Mytilus edulis: one gene and its partner. The protein of the gene in region 1 purifies or fractionates together with the protein of each later gene. This does not show direct contact. Links are inferred from orthologs where the notes say so. Each region holds a gene or a part of one and is shown on either strand. Other genes may lie near its edges. The genes, in order: ubiquilin-1-like and 26S proteasome non-ATPase regulatory subunit 4-like.

Evidence for each region.
Region 2: the proteins of ubiquilin-1-like (region 1) and 26S proteasome non-ATPase regulatory subunit 4-like purify together in Drosophila melanogaster (affinity purification with western blotting; 3 studies listed by BioGRID, with this or other methods). This does not show direct contact. The link is inferred for Mytilus edulis from reciprocal best matches to the Drosophila melanogaster genes Ubqn and Rpn10.

Annotation. Positions count from the first base shown.
Region 1 is NC_092347.1:34,492,676-34,503,723, reverse strand, and holds the start of ubiquilin-1-like, read right to left. Parts: upstream 5,505-11,048; 5' UTR 5,442-5,504; coding exon 5,334-5,441; intron 1,428-5,333; coding exon 1,275-1,427; intron 865-1,274; coding exon 781-864; intron 337-780; coding exon 214-336; intron 1-213. Other genes in the region: uncharacterized protein, read right to left, coding at 10,569-11,048.
Region 2 is NC_092347.1:13,365,080-13,375,997, forward strand, and holds the start of 26S proteasome non-ATPase regulatory subunit 4-like, read right to left. Parts: upstream 4,303-10,918; 5' UTR 4,270-4,302; coding exon 4,193-4,269; intron 1,313-4,192; coding exon 1,172-1,312; intron 1-1,171. Other genes in the region: uncharacterized protein, read left to right, coding at 4,568-4,682, 7,597-7,854, 10,027-10,228, 10,618-10,739. UniProt on the Drosophila melanogaster protein: Binds and presumably selects ubiquitin-conjugates for destruction.

The DNA of each region.
Region 1 (11,048 bases):
TGTCTCTAACAGATATATATCTCTTTGGCAATTATTCCACATCTCTTTATTTTCATCATCAACATTTGGATGACAAATAACATTTTCAAAATATTCAAACAACATTAGATCTTTTTCTTTTATTTTTTTGCAATATTTTCTGATATTTTGTCTAATAAATACCTATCAAAAATAAACATCTTTCTCAGAAATAAAGAATGGTAAATTTCTCACCTCTCTTTGCATTCTTTGTTGCATCTCCATAAAATTAGCTGATCCCATCCCCAAGTTACCAAGGCCTGCTAAACCTCCAAGGCCACCAAGTCCAAATGGTGTCTGTCCTACGTCAGGCTGTGACTGTAAGATGAAACAAATGTCAATTTTGTAAAATAATTAATTAAGTGACAATTAAGATACATGTTCATAATGATACAAATCGAAAATATCATTATTTATTTATTTATTTATTTAACAAAATATGTTTATGAAAACAGTAAATATTACTATATGCAACACAGTAATAAAACATCAGCTAAAAAAATCAAATAATAAAACTTTTTTCATTTTTATTTTTAGAATATCTTTTTTTCCTTCATATACATGTATGTAAATAATTGAGATTTGTAAAGAAACATTTTAATATTCGACTGGTAAGTAGTTTTAAGTCTTAAGTTTTTTTTCATAATAAATGTTCTGTAGATTGTGTCTTGGGTTCATTGTTCATTTCATTTTTATATATGCTTAGTGTTTTTTACCCTTTTATTTGTTGTCTAGCGTGACTAAACATTCCCCAAAACTTACCCCAGGTGTAGAAGTAGGTATTGATCCTCCTCCAGGTGATGGACTGGGAATAGGGGCAGCTCTCTGTGCAGCTTGTTCTTGCGACTACAAAAATAAATCCATTTCAACTTTCAAATTATCCAAATATATACATGTTAAATCTATAAATATATTTCATTATGACAAATATATAAGGAAATAGGTTTTTGTTGATTACAGAGTTTAATTTACTGAAAAACAACTTATTTTCACAGATACTTTATTTTGTGTTAAGTCCTTCCTATCCCTTTTTTGCTGCAATTTAATTTCACGATTTTCAAATTAACTTGAAGTAGATGAATTAGATGAACTGTCATGTGACAGGCGGGTAACTACACATGCTTACCCTGTTTGATGATTTGATCACAAGATGAACTGTCATGTGATTGGTGGGTAACTACACATGCTTACCCTGTTTGATGATTTGATCACAAGATGAACTGTCATGTGACAGGCGGGTAACTACACATGCTTACCCTGTTTGATGATTTGATCACAAGATGAACTGTCAAACCATCTTTTATTTGATGCTGTTCTAGAGTGTCTTCATCTTTCAGTATTTTTCCAGCAAATATTAAACAAAGCTGTTCAACTGGAGCATTGAATTTCTGTGACACCATTTCTCTCAACTGTGAAAAACAGAAATAAAAGATATGTTACCAGGTGCAAGTAAAGTAGCTCTACACTTAGAGACTAGTCTAAATAATACTTGCCATTTGCCAATAAAGTAGTCACATAAATTTTGTTTAACAGTTTATTTTTTATATAGAAGTACCATACCTTTCAATCAGGAAAAATTGAAGACAAAACTTTAATCAACTTGATTATTAAATAACAAGAATGACAAAACTGTAAGGATATGTTGCAATAAGTGTAATGTCCCTGTAAGCTACTATTTAATGTGTTTGTGGTCACACTGCAATTCAAACTGCACACTTCATTGAATTGTATTCATATCTTACATTTTGTAATTGTCTGATTTAACTTAAAAGCAATGAAAATGTCATGTACTTTATATTTCTTTAAATGATTGCTTGACTGAAGGAGCTGCTAATCATCTGGTAAAACAAAGTTAAACGTAGTAGAGCTCTTGAGGGCTTCTTAAATGCTGGTATGCTTTCAAACTTCATTCAGGTCAGCTTGGTTAACTTTGGGGTCTCTAGTGCTAATTTTGCAATAGGCATTTGATATCCCTAATTGTCAATCAGCTGACTTTTATTTTAAGTTAGTGTAAGAACCTTTGTAAAATGATCATATGTATCCCATGATCAAGATTTTCTTAATTCTGACATACATGCATGTATGTATATACCATGTATACAGAGGAATAAATTTTTAAACTTAAAATGATACATGTACCAAACAAGTTTGATTCATTGTTTGTTTAAAACTCCCCATTAACATGATTAATCTGACAGGAGATGAAAACTCCATCATGAAATACCACATTTGATTATCTAATTATTGCTGATCACCTATGTCTCCCTTTGGAAAAATTCAAAATCAGGAACCAACTAACTTTGCATGTATTTAAAAAAGTTAATACGATCAAAGTATTGCAATAGGTCATTTCTGGAATCATGTCTTTCACTAGAAAAGATTGTCAATTTCGCACGCCTTTATGATGTCATTTACCAGAAAGAAGGCGCGCCTGTATCCCTGCTCTATTAAAAGTTTCCAGCACTTTCATAATCGTCATTCTGTAGGGTAGTATAGAAATAATTAATGTTCCGTAAACAGTTAGGGGACTTACTGAAATAAGTGATTTTTAAATCACTTATTTGAGTAGCAAATTCGAAGTTTTGTCACAAATTGTGATTTTGTAGTTTTACCAAAATTTTAAACACATAGGTTTAAAAAATATCTTTTCATTAGTAAAATTGAAAAAAATGAATTGTTTGATTCTTTTAAGTATCAAGGTTTATGCCTTTGATGCTATCATTTAGCTGCAAATTCTATTTTAGTTGAAAAAATGCTATAATAATGGCTTTACATGTACATAATGAACTGATACTTTCTTCACAGATTTTTCCCAGCAGTGGGAGTATTTTTCCTGTAAAGTTCAAGGTTTTATCTTTCAGATTATATAATAAAATTCTACTGTTCGCGATAAAAATTTCACTGTTCGGGGGTGTTGAAATTAGTGGGGGTTATTAAAATATGATACTTAAAGAAGTGATTTTTGGGAAGGAAATTGAAGTATGATACTTAAACAAGTGATTTTTATGTCATTATCCTAGATTCAGTACAAGGTCATCACCTGAAATGACCTGGTCATCCTAGACAACACAGATGTTGGTTCTGATAAGTTTAGAAACATAATTAGTCCCTGGATCATTAGTGTTCTATATTTAAAGCTACAGTAAAATTAAATCACTTCTTCTAGTGATTATTTTGTACTACTTAAATAGGTGATTATTAAAGAAAGACAACTCTTTCTTTCAACCTTTATGGAAATAATGTTACTTGAATCAGTGATTTAGAAAATCACTCATTTAAGTAAGTCCCCTGACTGGTAAAATCATAATCGAGATTGCCGTATGACTGAGGGAGGGTGACCATCCTTTTAGATTTAAATTTCCCAAATATTATGTGCAGTATAAAATAAAACTTTTTCACCCGTTTGCTCAACATGTGTTGGAAATTTCTATGCATACATTTTTGTCACGTGGTGATGGAAGTCACATGACAGATTCATCTGAAAACAGTTTCCCGGAACTGGCCTATTGGGACAAGTGGTCAAAATCATGTAGTTTAGATATATAAAATTAAGATGTTGTATGATTGCCAACAAGACAACTCCCTACAAGAGACCAAAATGACTACATGGTAGTACTCGCCAACTGTACAAAATGTATGCTGTTGTAAAGGTGACACAACCACAAATGGGACACTAACAAACACTAACAACCAAGGCCTCACTGGTATATACATTTGTAACTGAAACAACATGTGGACGAAATGATTAATGACCGTAAAGTCTCAAAGCAATACATGTGACCTCAACATACTTTTAATTTAATTACAACTCTTGGTTTAGTGCATAATAACTCTGAAACATTTGAAGATTTTGACGAATCTGTCATGTGACTTCCATCACCACGTGACAAAAATGTATGCATAGAAATTTCCAACATATGTTGAGCAAACAGGTGAAAATATTTTCTTTTATACTGCACAAAATATTAGGGAAATTAAAATCTAAATGGATGGTCAGGTCACCCTCCCTCAGTCATACGGCAATCACGATTATGTACTTACGGAACATTAATTATTTCTATACTACCCTACAGAATAACGATTATGAAAGTGCTGGAAACTTTAAATACATTGTAGAGCAGGGATACAGGCGCGCCTTTTATCTGGTAAATGATGTCATAAAAGCGTGCAAAATTGACGTTATTTTCCGGTGAAAGACATGATTCCAGAAATGACCTATTAAGATAAGTACATACCTGTCAACCTCTGAAAATGAAAAGTCAGGTCATGACCTGCATTGAGAAAAAAAATCTCAGGTCATAACGCGTACGACATTTTGCGGGCTCAATTGAAGAACAAAAATATGTTTACATATAATTTATATAGTCAATATGTATATGAAACAGTTAGAACATGTATACAAGTTTATTTCATACTATTGTTATATTCCATAGTAGCAGACTTGGCATTCTTTAAAAGAACTGCACTTGGTTTCAGTTCATAGCAATGCAAATGTGTATTCATTTTACAAGAAAGAAGAGCACACAGTGTATCCTTATTAAGATCAGCCCTACACTCTGTAGCTATTTTCTTTACTAAAGAAAATGCCCTCTCACTGTCTGCATTGCTGTTTGGCAAAACCAGTAATGTTTTAGCAAGTTTTGACAAAACAAAAAATCTTGGCTTGTTTTCAACTACCACTTTGTTATTTTCAACTGAAAGGGCCCTCTTTACTATTTGGGTGGTTTTAGTTTTTCCACAGGAATAACCTGAAGCTATTTCACAGCTCAGGTAAACATTCCTACATTTTGACTTTTGGTTACATTGAAAAAGACCGATAAAACCGAAGGTCGCATTACTTCTAAATACCGGAAACAATTCCGGTCAGAAATCCGGGTGAAACGGGTAATGTTAGAAATTCCCGGGACCCGCCGGGTAAAGAAAAACTCCCGGGTGAGAGGTGAAAATAACGGGTGTCACCCGCAAAAAACGGGTGAGTTGACAGGTATGTAAGTAGGTAATGATTTTATTTATACAAAATTAAAAGGGTTGTACAGTTTGTATATTGACCCCTCACTGCTTCAGCTTCCAACCCTGGGTTTAGGGTGTGATTCGTTTTAGAAGTCTCTCCCAAGTATGATTAATATATAGGGAGCTGAGCAATGCAAATGTCTAGTAAAAGTGATAAGCTGATGTAAGCAATTGAGTAGATTTAATCTGTTAATAGAACATTCTAGATAACGAATTATTGACATATGCAGTGAGAGAAGTAATCTTATGTATGGATTGTAGAGAGGTTTCAGGGATATTCTATAACTTCCTAGCGATAGATTTACCTCCTTAACATGAGCATTAGTATCTATTTCCATTTCCTGCTTTTCTTTTGGTGTTTTAACCGTGATTTTCATGGTTTTACGAGACTCATCCATTCGTTCGTCCGCCATAATGTCTGTATTTTGACCTGTCACTATTCTGATTCAATGACGCGTTTGATGCATACTAAAGTTGGTGTGTTCTATAAAACAGCTATGGTGTCTTTGTATTAGGGGCTTTCGAGACGTTTCGGCCATACACCAGTTCGGCCATGGTCGTATTGGTTCATACATTATTTCTCAATGTTTCATCAAGGATTTGTATAGTAACTATACAAATCCTTGGTTTTATTAATGTTGAGAAAAAAGAAAATAAAGGATAGCACAAGATTCGAGTAAAGTACAAAACATCTATTAAATGCTTAATGATCGAGAAACGATTGATTTGAAAAAAGAAATTAGTGTATTGTTTTGCTTCAAAATATTATAATAATAAAGTTGGAGCAAATAGATAATCAATTCCACTACAGATACGGACGATTGTATATCTAATTAGATAATTGGATTAGCTAGGTGATAAACTAAGTGTCAGAAGTGATTGACCGAGGCGCGTGTCTAAGATAATAAACCAATCCGCGGCAACTTGTAATTTGATTTGATCAGTCCAAAACAAGATTGTCAATTTTGTGTGCTTATATAATTTTCTGAAGAATTCAGGGTCGTAATTTATTTGGAGAAGTTTTTGAAATATTTGAAGTATATTTTTAATAAAACTTGATTAATGAAGATTTATCAAATTTTACTAACGCAAATGATATGTTTCTTGGTACCATTTAGCCGTTTATGCACCCTTACCACTTTGACTCATTGAATTTTTGACAATTATTTGATTATAATGGATTTTTTAAAATAACGTTTGTTTACAAAGATGCTTTATATAGTTCAAGAAAAACACAAAAATACGTTTAAAAGATAAATGAATTCTTAATCTGTCTTTAAATGGGGTTATCCATAATTGTCAACCATTTACCAAAGTGCACAAAACATACACTTTTTCAGACCCCCCACCCTCCCTCAAAAAGTGTACATCAACCATTTTCAGATTTCAAGACAAAAATCAATCATTTTTAAATAAAAAGAAGATCCTGCCTATTATAGTTTAGTTAATGTAAACATTTGCATTGAAAATAAACTGAACCATATCTGACTGTTTTATTTTTATTTAAAAAAAAAAACGTACGGTAATAATGTTGATTTTTAAACCCCTCCCCAAGTGTACGTTTTGTACACTCTGGAAAATGGTTAACAATTATGGATGACCCCTAACATTCAACCTCTAAAAAGGTCGAATAGAAATTAACCTATTTACAAATTTTATTTCGGCAGTATGTTTTCAGAAAGCTATCTCTGCATTCTTTTAAGCAATCCACCAAAATCGCATGTCACATTGCATTTTTCGCCTGTCAAGACGATATTTTTTGTAAACTAATCAACAGCAAATACTGGTACTACATATCATAGTAAAATGATGTATACACAATACTGGTTTTTTTTTTAAACATCCTTACTTAAAGCAGAGACATATAACACATTATCATTGTATTATATGTCACTGCTTAATGAAAAGATAAATTTATAAAATTGAGAATTGGATGTGAATATGTCAAAGAGACAACAACCCGACCAAAGAGCAGACAACAGCCGAAGGCCACCAATGGGTCTTCAATGCTGCGAAATACTCCAACCCCCGGAGGCGTGCTTCAGCTGGCCCCTAAACAAAAATGGTTCATTCTCATTTATCCAACTTTTTAAATTTATAGGTGGTACAGGTAAAAAAAAAAGTTGGATAGATGAGATCAAAGGTAATCAAGAACAAAGGTTTTTTCAATTAGAGTTTTGGTTAAATGACAGGTTAAAACTAAGACTGAAAATTATAGCCGGATTAAATTTTAGGTAGTATTATTAAGCATAGTATGTTAAAATGTGCAATGACATTTAGTTAATGTCATGTAAATCATTTGAAAGTATTTTTAAGTTTTTTTAACCGTTAATCAAAATGTGAATTGGATAGAAAAATATCAAGTGCACTTTTATTCATGAAGAGATTTGTCAATTAGATGGAGCTTTTTTTTTGTGTAATAGATCCCCTTCGTTCATTTTTTTCTGTTCTTCTGACCAAATGATCCAAATGGGACAAAATATAAGTTGAATACGTTTAACTACACAAAGACTGAACATGTCATATCAAAGTTCACACAACATATATACATATATAAACAAAAGCAAAAGCAATTCAAGCACAATGGTTATAAAATACTGGCACAGAAATATCAATAGCACACTGTGACTAAATAAATGTTCAGTAGATTCACACAACATACAATGGTACTAAAGAAATGTTCAGAAGATACACTCATCATACATTTAAAAAAAATAGTAATGCAAGCACAATGGTTAAAAAACGTAGCACAGAAATATCCATAGCACACACTAAAGGAATGTTCATTAGATCTTCATCCTAGTTTCAGTAGGTGGGATACTGCATCAGTGTAGTGATATACGTTGATGAAATTTCGAATTGAATGGCTATATATATACTACAACATGAGCTTAACTATGAAATGTAATCTTATAAGAATAGAGTTCATTCATTCATTCATTCACATGTTTTGGAAAAATTGCTGAGTACTGTAACATAGTTTTAATTTTTAACACCAAATATGCTGAACACGAACAATGTTTAATTTGGTAATCACCTTGAATCATCACCAGTATTATAAGTTAACAGGTGTCACATTTATTGTAATGTTATAACTTGCACTTACAATTTAAAAAGTGATAAAATGTTAATATAAAAATATTACTGATTTGTGGGTTTCTTCTGTATAAATGATGAAACATTTATTTATTATCTAAAATGTACTAAATTTTATTTAAAAAAAGTTTACTATCGCCTGTTTTATATATATTTTTTAAATAATATAAAAAACATACAGGAACAAATTTACTGTCAAATTTTAAAAAGACACCTTATTATTACTAAACAAACAACCCAATAATTAACAAAAATAAAAAGTTGGCTAAATGAGAATACCTTATTTTAAAAAGTTGGATAAATGGGAAGACACCACAAAAATGTATACTAGTTCTGTGATAATGAACGTCATACTAAACTCCGAATTATACACAAGAAACTAAAGTTAAAAATCCTACAAGACTAACAAAGGCCAGAGGCTCCTGATTTGGGACAGGCGCAATAATGAAAGTAATTAGTATATACAACACAATTTCTTCACAGTATGGTCATTACAACCATAAGGACAAATTGGCTCTATGGCCGAAACGTCTTGTTTCCTAACAGAAGTTCCTCTGGATTTTTTTTTTATAAACAATGTTATAATGTAAGTTTTTATTGGAATAAGTATCTATACTAGCTCTTTATTCTGTTATATTTCTTCGATTTGGAACTTCTATTGCATCACAACTGGCCGTAAAAATATTGTTTTGTTTCCCAAATAAATACACATAGTTATAGCAGAGACATATAATACATTTATATTATTATATGTCTCTGGTTATAGTAATATATCAGCTTGATTTCCTTTCATTGAAAGGAGATTGCTGCTTACAAAGAATACAAGAGATCTGGTGCAGTAAAATTTGTACCGTTTATATTATCCCAAATGTTGAAGTTTGAATTATCATCAAAAACGAAAAATTTATTAAATATGATTATCTGTTTTACAGAATTGAGATGACAGACTATCGAATTAGACATACCACAATTATATTTGATGAGCAACATGAAGGGAGTTATCGACTAACTGATTATGAGACAAAGAACCACCAGCATAGGTATCGATCTCAGTGGCGGATCCAGAACTTTTCCTAAAGGGGAAGGGGGGGGGGGGGGGGGGGGGCGCTGACTGACCTAAGGGGGGGGGCCTCTCCAGTCATGCTTCAGTGATACCCTATATAATCAACCAAATTTTTCCCACGAAAGCCCCCCCCCCCCCCCCCCCCCCTGGATCCGCCTATGTGATCATCTGATAGAAGTATTACAATTAAAACAGCGGTACCAACTCAAAGTTACATTTTTGATTATGTCGTGGCCTTTTATAGATAATTATGTGGTATGGCCATTAAACTGTATGGTGGCCTATATAATTGCTTCAATCTAGTGATTCAACAAAAACATTTTTTTTAGTTTGTATTATTATACATGTATATGAAACAACCCGGGATTTATCCTCCCTTTCTGTATCTAATTTAAAAAAATGATTGGTCAATCGTCAGCTGTTACGTTAGAATGAAATTACGTAATGGATAACCATGTTTTTTCTGCTTCTACCAGATAATTTTTTATATTTAGAATAATTAATGCTGTTAATTTTTCTTTTTAGAATATTTTACATATTGCACCGTGGCACATTGTTTTAACACCCTTAATCTCGGTGGATAATTGTCTCATCGGAAATCATACCACACCTTATATATATTTTGTTACTATAGGTAATTTTTAGAACGCACACAAGCCAGATAAAGCTTTTGGCTGACTATGATTTCGAGAGAAATACGAAATTGCAATCGATGTATTGCTACTAAAATGTGTTATTGTTTCAATAGGTATCTGCAGAGAAGTCATTTAAATGAACCGGACAATATTGTGATCAAGTTTATATATTTTCTTATGACTTGTTTGCAAATTGCTGCATTTTCGGTTATTAGTGAGAGTTACGTCCCTTATCCCGCTAAAAAAGACCAAAATAGATATTTATAATTTTTGTGACATTTAAAAAAAGGGGCATTTCAGTAATCAATAAGCTTATATTTAAGAACAATCATAAAAAGAAGTTTGTCAGTTGATTGCCCCTTGGACACTAAGACAGTAAGCAGGTGTCACATTCGCACCTGTGAAAGAGAATATTCTGTATCTGTATCGTTACGTCGAAGGTGTTGTGTAAAGTAGATAAAATGCGTTGTGTATAGATCGTGTTTATTTTAACGTCTAGCCATTGCTATAAGTAACGTCATAAATACATAAGTCAAGTAGCAACGTTAACATGTATATATTCGCGCTAAATTCCCGACATTCTCGGGGCCGGCAAAAGTTAAAATATGAAATTATTAATTCTTTAAATGTCAATCGAATAGATATTTCTGAAAATTAAATAATTAAAATGTCTTTCTAAAACAAATTCAAATAATTCACTTATTAAATTCACTTTTAACGAAGTCTTTCACTTTTAACGAAGTCTATCACTTTTGGGTAGTCCATTTCTTGATGTTCTCTCGAGCTCGGACAGATGCCTCTCGTTTTGGTAGAACTCTTGTCAATCTCTCTGTTGAAGAATCATCATTGTTGTCATCTAAGTTGTTAATGTTTGTCCGGATTTCGAGCGGGTACAGTTTTACTATAGGACGCGAAGTACGTCCTGCACTAGTTCGTATTATAGCTGCTCGTGTAAAACCATCGTTTCCGGTGATCAATTCATCAACAACGGCAATGTTCCATCGGTTTTTCGGTAATTTATCATCTTGGACTTGCACTACATCTCCAACTTGTATAGTTTGTAAGTTGTTTCCTGTTTGGCGATGAAACTCTCTAAGAGTCGTTATGTACTCGGATTTCCACCGGTTCCAAAAATTCTCCATTAAACTCGACTGTTTATTCAAATGTTTATGCAGTTCTTGTTTTCCACTATTCACGGCAATGTATTCAATATTCGGTTGTGGACA
Region 2 (10,918 bases), about 21 Mb from region 1:
AGCGTATATAAATGAAGACTTTCATGACTTTAGAATTGAATTTAAGTCATCAAAATAAAACTATGCCTTTACAGAAATGCCTTCCATGTCAACTTGTTAGCGACAAGCACAGTTTTTAATTAACCCAAACGTGGTGGAAATTGATTTTGGAGTTACTTCCCCTGTTTTAGCTTATTACAAATTTGTGCTCTAAAAATATTATCTAGTACCAAAAAAAGGAATAAATTACCAATTGAATATATAATAACATAATAATGTTACCTTAAAGATATTAACTGTCTTTGAACATATTAAAAAATATATATTGCAATTTCTACTTGATAATTATACTTTTAGCAATCCATGTTCTAAACATTGCTAAATTAGTAATGCTCTCTGTTCCAAATCATATGATGTATTCAAACTATAATTCCTATATAGATGAAAAAAACAAAACAAAAAACACATATTCTTTGATAATGGGTAGAGTGAAGTTGAACTGTAAAAACATAATATGTTGATGAAGATGTACTATATCAATCATAACTACACAAACAATGAAATAAAGACTATAGTTGAAAAGCATCTTTATTTAAAAAAACCAACATACATGTATACAGTAAAAAAAAAAGAAGAGATTCGTTAACTCGTGATACACACAGAAACGTAGACAAAAAAATGAGCAGTGCCTTTTCTTATCATAAAAAGTGCCCTGCCCTCCACTGGCACCCTGCCCCTTTTGATTTCTAGCTAGAGCACTGACATGTATGCTGTTAGTTTTCTAGTTTGACTTGTTTTACATTGTCATTTAGGGACCTTTTATAGCTGACTTTGCCATATGGATTTTTCTCATTGTTGAAGTTAGTACAGGACCTATAGTTGTACATTTTAATTTCTGTGTCACTTGGTCTCTTATGAAGACTTATCTCATTCATGTCATTGGCAATCATACAACATCTTCTTTTCTATAAATACTTTTTTTTTTTATATCATAACAGAATATAACATAGCAAGAAGTGCTTTTGTGCTTGATATGCATTCTGATAGTCACTTACTTTCATTCTATAAACATGATAATCTAAAAAAACAAAAACAACATTAATTTCTAAAGTATTTGAATTTGCATATACTATGTATACACGTATTTTACGTTCATACTTCTACTTTTCAACATTATTTCTCTTCAACTTACTGAGACATAACTAATAGTCCAACATTGTTTTCTGGATTAGATCTAGTTTTGGAGTGACAAACAAGATTGACAGCATCTTGTTGGGCTTGCAGTCTAGTAGGAACAAAGTCACCATTTCTCATATAATCACTGTTGTCAACACTGAAACACATATAAAAGTAAATAAATTGCAAGTGTATCAAAAACACTAGTCACTACTGTCACTAGGTTAGGACTAGTCCAAATAATTATGACGTCTGGCAAGGCTATTTCATTTTTTTTCTGGGACGCCTTCCTATAAGGTCATAACGCTGAAGCCATTTTTTACGTCTGGAGTTTGAGAGCAGATTTTGGTGGGAACTTTGACACCTAGTTTTGACATGAAATTTTCATTGCCGGTTAGAAATTTTTACATAGTTACAAAGTCCTACCTTTTTTGTGCTTATTGATGTAAAATATTTCCTGAAATATCCAAAAGAAAAGATAAAATAAGGTACGATTCCATTTGAGGTGGGCAAATATTTATTATGTCTCAAAATGTTTTCCCATAATTACCAAAGAAACGTCAATTCCGATGGATATAAAATTTAAAATCTGTAAAATTTGACAGACCAGAATTTCCAGATAATGTAAATGGAACGTTCCGGAAATTCGGCTCCATTAAATTTTACCGTTTTTAATATTTTAACATGACGTCCTTCAAACGTTTGAGTACACACCCGTGGTAAAATCTGAATATATTGCCAGGGCTGTTCCAATCGTACTCCAACGTCATATACTTTTTTATGAATGAGGTGCCCGACGTCATAGAACGATGACGTAAGAATATAAGCATTTTACGGGATGACACGCTTGTGAAACCGAAAATTATCACAACAAGGAAACGTAAACAAACGATGCTAAAAGCTGGTTTAAGCCATTTTTTAAAAACATATTAGACATATATAAGTAAACTATCATTTAAATTCATTCAAAACGATATAAATACGTTATTGTGATTAGCTTAAGCATGTCAATAATTCAGTTAGCTCTGTTCTTTTACGCCAATTGAATAGTGCATTTATATATGGGAACGGCAAATATTTGCCTCCACCTAGAGCGCTTCGATCCAAAAGAATAAATGTATATACACTTTTGGTATTTAGCTGTATTTTGCCTCTGAATGACCTTTTATCACCTCGGAATAACCTTTTGACGTCAGGCAACAATCACTTTTTAGTTGTGACGTCAAAGTTTACGGGAACCTGTGTGATTTTATGTAATGGCGGACAAATTTGCATACAAGTGTAATTACGTCTATTGCCGTATTTGTCCTATTAGAATCGAAATAATTCATGGGGGTTTGAATATATCCAGATTTTACCACGGGTTGTTCCTTTCAGGGCTGCCAAATTTTTTTTGAGCCAGCCGGACATTTTATATCTGATCCCGATTTTAATCTCTAAGACTAAGTCACAAAAGGCAATTATGCTAATCAGATGGCCATCCCAAATTATGATTGACATTAGATTGACAATGACGATATTAAAATTTACTTTGATATGAATTTGATGTTCTGAAGTAAACTGTTAAAATTGGCAGTGCATCATTCAAAGTGTGCACATCAGCATGCTCATATCTGCCTTAGGCTCTTTATTTGTGCAAAATGACATTGTCAAAAAATTTACTTTAGTTTTTAAAGTCACATTTTCCCAAACCGGATGTTGACTTGACAATGGTAAAACATGGACCATAAACGGATATGTAAAATCAGTGTACGTTTACAAAGCACGACTGAGTGAAGAAGCTCTTTCCACGTTATTTCTCCAACAAAATACTTGAAATGAACGTTAGATACAGGTATCAATGATAATTTTAGCATTTTTGAAGAAATGTAGGATGCATAATTAAATTTCCCACCTGTGCACATGCGCACACATGTTCTTATTCATGCAACGAAGTTCTGACGATTTTTCATTTAAAACCTTTTTAAATGTTTCATCAAATCATGTTTATAAATGTATTTATTATAATTTATTCTTTTGGACTAAATCAATTAGATACAAACTGCTGAAATGTACGGAAATAATTGTGAATAGACAGATTAATTTATCCGATGTCTGGTACTGAAAATTATAGTTTACCTGTCATCTGAGCAGGTAGTTTTCAGCTGTCCAGCAACTAATTAGCCTGGATTGAAATTAGAAAGTATTGAAGTAAGGGTTGTTTTGATAGTAATTAATCATCATGTCACTTTTAAGATCGGAAATGTGGGGCTGTTAAAGGCATAAATTTGGGTCAAAAGATCGTGAATTAAGTAAAAATGACCGAAAAAGCCTTGAAAACTAAAAAGTAGATGACCGTTTCATGCTTTGCCCAGCTGGACTTTTAACGGACATTATACAAATGACCAGAATATTTGACCGTTTTGGAAGCCTTGGTCCCCTTATGCCGATATTTTACCCCTTGCTATCGCTCAGGGTAAAATATTTGTCATAAAGGGCCAACTCGTGGTAAAATCACGATATAGTGATCAAGCCCCCATTAGTTATTTCTTAAATAACGTCAAAAGTAAAATCCCTAACAACAGAACCAAAATCGGAAATGTTACAGTATTTCCGTTTCTTTTTTTAACAGATTTGAAGTTACAAAAAAAAATCGTACAGACTTCGTCCCCTTTCACAGGTAATGCCTGCCTCATATTACATTGACATAATTTGTGGCATTTTTGCACTTGGTCTTCGAATATTTCCCTTGAACAGTAAAATTCCATTATAGCATTATATTCAAACAGGGTTAAACAAAACCGATTTCTTTATAATTTTACGTGAAATGATCATTGTCACATTGATATGACCGAGTCCAACCGGTGATGTGGATTTCCAAAATCGCTAAATCATCGTCGTTATAACGAATAAATAATTTTCACACATTAAATACCCTAAATCAGGAATAGTGAATATGAGACGATAAGCAAGTTTACATCGGGCCTCTACCGAAATATGTATCTTATTAATTAAGCTTGAGTGTGAGGGAAACAAATATGATTTAAAGTTTTTTTACCAGACAATTGTACTTTCGAGAACCATTTTGGAAATGAATGATATGATGCGTTGTGATTGGTTGAAATTATTTTCCATCTTAATGTCCGGATGATAGACATTCAACAGCACAGCACAACGACGTAAAGAAAAATATCGCTGTGCTTGCTTTTTAAAGATTGAAAATTGATTTAAAATTTTTCATTGATAATCTTTCACAAAGAGCAACATTTAAAAACAATTAAATACACAAGTAAATGAATAAATTGAAGCAAAAGTGCATATAATTATATTATTAAATAGTATTGTATTTGTTTACTGGTTTCCGTCACACAACCTCGTCATAAACGGAACCCAGTCTTCAAGCACATGGTTCAACAACAACAACAAAAGAATTATGGTCAACTTCTATGGCTATGACGAATTTATGGACGATAGATCATTACAAATATTGAACGAAAAGAACGTCATAAGAATCAACTCATCATGGAGCAACACAGCAGTTTATTTTGGCAAGTATCTAATTAAAAGAACACAGTTAGGTCAATCTCTTGGAGATTACTACAGTTAGTTTAATAGTATATTTTATCTGTTGAATGACACTAACTTGCTCAGAAAAAAACACTGGACCGGAACATTTCCGTTGATAACAAGGTGTAACTGTAAAAGAATAAAGACAAAGGAACTTAGAACCGACTGAGTGGTATAGCAAATATTGGATTGTTACCAAAGACTGACAAACCTGACAATATTTACAAACATGCAATAGTGAAAGCTAATAAATTTTTATATAGGTATGTCATATCATGGGTCTTGCATCTATGGTCATATATTAAGATACTCAGTTTTTGCAAATTTGATATGCATGCTGAGGGTAGATTACAACTGTCCAGTGTCCTGTCACTCAGTATTCTGTCTTGTACTATCACACCGTGGCTTTTTGTAGATGTTAACCTGTACAAAAGCACCATAGAAACAACAAAGAATCTCCATCATGACACATTTGCTAAAATGTCATTGTTTAATGCTTAGTATAGCTTAATAGTTATACTTCAGTTTGTTATTTAAGGCATCGTGCATTGTTTGTCTCATTAGCATGATTAGTTTTCATATTGTAGCTTTCATGTATGCCTGATCTTCTCAGTGAGAGGATAAGCATATAATGGATAACTGTGGGTCTGGATTTCTGCATTCTTTATTTTTAAATCAATTTCTATATTCTTTAATTATTTTGTCAATTTTTATATATACCGTACTTTCTAGCATCTATTATAAATCTATTCTTTTTTTTTTTGCCAATTTTCTTTTCCCCCTTTATTCTGCACTTTTGACTGTAGTTCTCCATCCAACCAGGCCCTCTTACAATTGCTTTTGATACGTTTTGACTGGGCAACTAGTTCGGCCATAAGTCGTTTCGGCCGCTGAGTAAGTTCAACCAAAGTCATTTTGGCTACAGTCATTTCGGCCATACTCGATTCGGCTAGACTTTTTCATATTGTTATCATAATATGTACGACTAAGCGCTCATATCACAACTTCTTATGCATATTGATAATTGTTAAATATTTTGACTGAAGTTTGTTTTGAAAAGGAAAATTTGTAACAAAAACGAAATAATCTTTTTGACATAAATTGTAAAGTAAGATCCTTGCATAAATTGTGACTTTCTTATGGCACTGTGCCACACATGGTTAAGATATTACTGATTACAATTTGATACGAAATTCCAGTTGACAAGGTCGGTACTTCAAATTGTTATTTAACGTCTGCTTCTAATTTCCCCCTCCCTTTATAACAATGAAAGCCTTGTCTGAAATGACCTTACAAAGTTTTGCCGATTTGGAACTGGCAGTATATGACCAAAATGACAATGGCCGAATCGGCTGTGACTGAAACGGCTTGCATCGGTAAACTTGCAGGGACAAGTTTGCGTTTTCAAGTTCCTGAAATAAATTCTTGTCAAAGTTGTGACAAACGTTTTCAATTGCTTTATCTTAGATATATGTTTTCCGTCTTTCATATCCCCAAGCATATCCTACGTAAATTCTAATACGATAATTAATAATGTTTTAAATGTTGAATAAGTTTCTACACATTGTGTTGAACACGATGTGGTCATCTTTATTCACATGCATCATTTTAAAAACTTCGGACATGTGGATATTGTTCGTATCCTCGATATGTCAGTGCATTTGTCTGTTTGAAGAACTATTTTTGTGATACAGTTTTGTGTTTGCAGTATATGCTTTTTATTGCTAAAGTCGATAAACAGCCATTTGAGCAATAACGCAATTTTTTTTATAAATTATTAACTAGCATACCAACACAGACTAGCTCGTATCTTTTGCCAGGTGTCACAGGCCTTATTTGAAAATGTAAAGAATGCCATATGGACGTCATATGCGATTAATATTTTATCATATTATAAAATTGAGAATGGAAATGGGAAATGTGTCAAAGAGTTATTTTTTTTGTGATATGTTGATATGACGTTGTTTGCTGCCCGTACGTCTACACATTGTTTTTGTGGTTCTCCGATTATTGAAAATATTTTGAAAAGAATTTTGCCAATAAACAAATGTCACCTTTGAAGATATAACATGTTTGAAGACCATTTTAGAGAATCATTTAGAGCAAGGAATACTAAAAGACCAAAGAGCAGAAAACGACCGAAGGCCATCAATTTGTCTTCAACACAGTAAGACAATCCTGCATCCGGAGACGTGCTTCAGCTGGACCATAAACGAATATGTGTACTAGTTTAGTGATAATGGACGTCATACTAATTAACTCCGAAATATATAAACGAACTAAAATTAAAAAATCATACAAGACTAACTAAGACCAGACTGAGCTACCTGACTTGGGACAGGCGCAAAAATGAGGCGGGGTTAAACATGTTTTGTGAGATCTCAACCCCCTATACCTCTAGCCAATGTAGAAAAAAATATATATGTAGCAATACGTAGTTAAAGTTAACTGATATCTTTACTATGCACTCTTGGTCCTATATCTAACTGCTACTAGTGAAGCAGGACGGCTTATCTTTTCGTTGCTCATGCCCAGTCTCCGAAAAATACTTATATACCCTTATGTAACAATTTTCTTATGACTGTGGCGTTGTATTACACATGAGGTTATAGTTAATAACTTTCAATTGAAGATTTAAAAGATAAATATGACAGATCATCCAGTAAAATAAATTAAATAACATTTAGATGAAAAGATGAAAGAGTAGATTGTAACCCCCTCGAAAAAAGGGATGATCAACATTGGCTTCCCCTCGGTTGACAATTGTTTTCTCAGGAAAAAATGTACTCTATCTTTCTTTTGATTATGTGTTGTTTAAATTTTTTTTTCAATTAATCTTATTTTCTTAATCATTCATTTATATATTGCACATTTGAATAAAGGATTTTCTTTCAGATGACGGAAAACAAAAAGTATTGGGCTATCAACATGCGATATTGGACCAAATTCTTTACAAAATTTCTGGATGTTCCATTAAAAACATTACATTTGTTGGTGAAAATCTAGTATGTTTAAACAATTCTGATCAATGTTATATGATAACAGACAAATTAAAATATTTTATGATACAATTTTATGACAAACAGCAGCACAATGGACAGATAAAGATATGCCATCTTACTGCAACGGACAAAGACCTCGTAATTATTTCAGGTATGTTCATAAACTGAGAAGTTGTTAAATTTATATCAAATACTCTTATTTTCAGAATCATCATGTTTAAGATTAAACATATCTTATTTGCAAAATATCTCCAAAAGGATTAGACACAAGTGAGTCCAACTTAGACCATCTTCTCCTACTATATAATTTTAATCAATACAATTTAGATCATGATCATTTACAGTTTGTGTTTGCCACCTATCATTACTCGAATACTGAGAGATGTGTCATCTGCAAAGAGTCTAGTACGTTCTTCTCGACAGAATCGTTTATACAAATTATAAGAACATAGGACCGACCCTTGGGGAACGCCTGCTAAAACAGATGTAGGAGAAGAACAGGACGGTTTAACTTTTTCATCATATATATTTCCATGTGCTCTTATGTTTAATATTATATTAAGTATAAGATAACTCTAAATCATGTATAGGAATCCAAATGCAATAAACCCCACTCCCATAGGCGGATCCAGGGGGCCCTGGGGGGCCCGGCCCCCCCCTTTTCGTGGGAAAAATTTGGTTGATTACATAGGGAATCATTGAAGCATGACTGGAGCGGGCCCCCTCTTAGGTCAGTCAGCGCCCCCCCCCCCCCCCTTAGGAAAAGTTCTGGATCCGCCAATGACTCCTCACAAGAATTAAAAACATAGCATGTTTTAGATCGAAAATATAGGTTTAGCACTTAGTAAGTGTGCCTTTCAATAATTTTAGGTTCTAAAAAGGCCATTTACAAGATTTACAATTGGTTTGCTTCCAGTTATACTATACATAATACTAAAACCCCTCATTTCTGGAGTATTTAGTGCATATTTTGTCTAAATTGAATGATAACTTTTCATGTTTAATGATGAATGCAAAATAATGATGAATGCAAAAACCTTAACAGTACCTAACTACACATCTTTATATTACTTGAATAAAAGTCAGACGGATATGAGCTGACACTATCGCGCCCGTTTAGTGTCTTTAATCATACTAAGAGTAAGGTACTTGCTGTTATCTTGTGAGCTAGTATGTTAAAATCCGAATCAAAGTGTCGATCTTGTACAAAGCAGGGCTTTATAAAAGCATATATCCATGATCTAAAGGACAACTTTTTAATTTGTTAAAGCAAAAACTTTGAAAAAACAGTTGATCGTTTTGGAATAATCGTTTCACAGATGATATCGGATATGTTCCTTATGTCGTAACTACAATTCACTTCCCTGTTCACTACAAATGTGACTTACCGTTTATACTATAATTTACCGGGGTTGTAATAACATGAGCAACACGACCGGACGGGTGCCACATGTGGAGCAGAATCTGCTTACCCTTTCGGAGCACCTGCGATCACCTCCAGTTTTTGAAGGGGTTCGTGTTGCTTAGTCTTTAGCTTTCTATGTTGTCAAGTGTGTAATTTGTCTGTTTGTCTTTTTATATTTAGCCATGTCGTTGTCAGTATATTTTCGATCCATGAGTTTGACTGTCCCTCTGGTATATTTCATTCCTCTTGCTAAATACACATAAATATACACTGCAAGTATCAATATATAAAATCAGATTTTAAGTATTTATTTTTGAAGGTATAGAATCCAAACAAATGATAACATCGAAAATAAAGAGATGTGGTATGATTGCCAATGAGATGTGTTATGATTGCCAATGAGATGTGTTATGATTGCCAATGAGATGTGTTATGATTGCCAATGAGATGTAACTATTATCCAACAAAGTTCAACGGAAGTGATTATAAACAATTACTAATATAGGGCAACTGTATTGCCTTCAATGAAGAGAAAAATCCATAACTTATAGTTTGTTACAAAAGGTCCCGACAAGAAAAATATAAATAAAAAAATGACAGATATGAACGAACGACAACTACTGAACTACAAGCACTTGACATGGGGCAGGTATATATATAGAATGTGGCGGGGTGTCTTGAAAATGCACTTAATATTTTGCAGACAACCGTTAATAAAATGTTAATAGATCAATTATTGTTATTACTATATATCTTTACAAGAGGCAGTAGGTTGACATGTTTGTGTTATTTAGTTTTTGCTTATAAAGTACCATATGAGCCAATTTTGTAAAGCATACCTCTCAATAAGAGACTTATTGTAACATTTCCCATCATATTCAATGTTGAGTTTTAGTTCACTTGTTACTATTATTACAGATACCAAGATATGTTTTATAAGCGAGAACATATTATGTAAAATAGGAAAAGACATCAGATGCGAAGATACAGATATTACACCAACATATTCATTGCCTTTAGTGTCTCTATGTACAGATACAGTGGCTGCAGTTAGCTGTGGAAAGGAACATGTCTTACTTTTAACAACGTATGGCACAGTCCTCACGTTTGGCGGAGGAACGTATGTAGGCCTAGTATATAAAAATACGATATAAGTAAAGGGAGATGTACTTGCTGTTTTACAAATTGTTTTAATCACTTTAATTTTTAACACAAACAAAAGTAAGATTTGGCTTAGATTTTACATGAAACACAGTGACGTTTAAGATAATAACTTTCAAATATTGTATGCCCCTTTTTTAATGCAATTTTCTTTATATAACGCATCCGAAGAAATCGTGTCATTTCACCAGATTAGACATAGCGATTGCTCTTTCCGAGATATATGTAGCTTTTCTGCATTCTACTGTGTCCAGTACATTACAGTCAGTCGCAGTGATATGTCTTCACTTGCTTTCACAAATGTTTAACATTAGCAGTCTTTATTACTGTGTATTCCATTTTATTTAGTCGAGGACAACTTGGTCATGGAACAGTTGATAGTACAAAGGAACCACATTTGATAGACAGCTTAGCGGGACTCAAAATGTTAGCAGTTGCAGCTGGTGGCTGGCATTCGCTTTGTATTTCAGGTAACACAAAACGAAATGATTGTTTATTGTATATCAGTAGAAAAACAAGAGCATCGGTGTCCAAGTAGAACTGATATATATCACTAGCCTATCAACACGGAGTTAGTGTGGCCAATTCCGCATGTTGCAGGTGCGCTCGAATCCAAGCTTAATTTAATAGTACTAGTAACCAAGTTGTC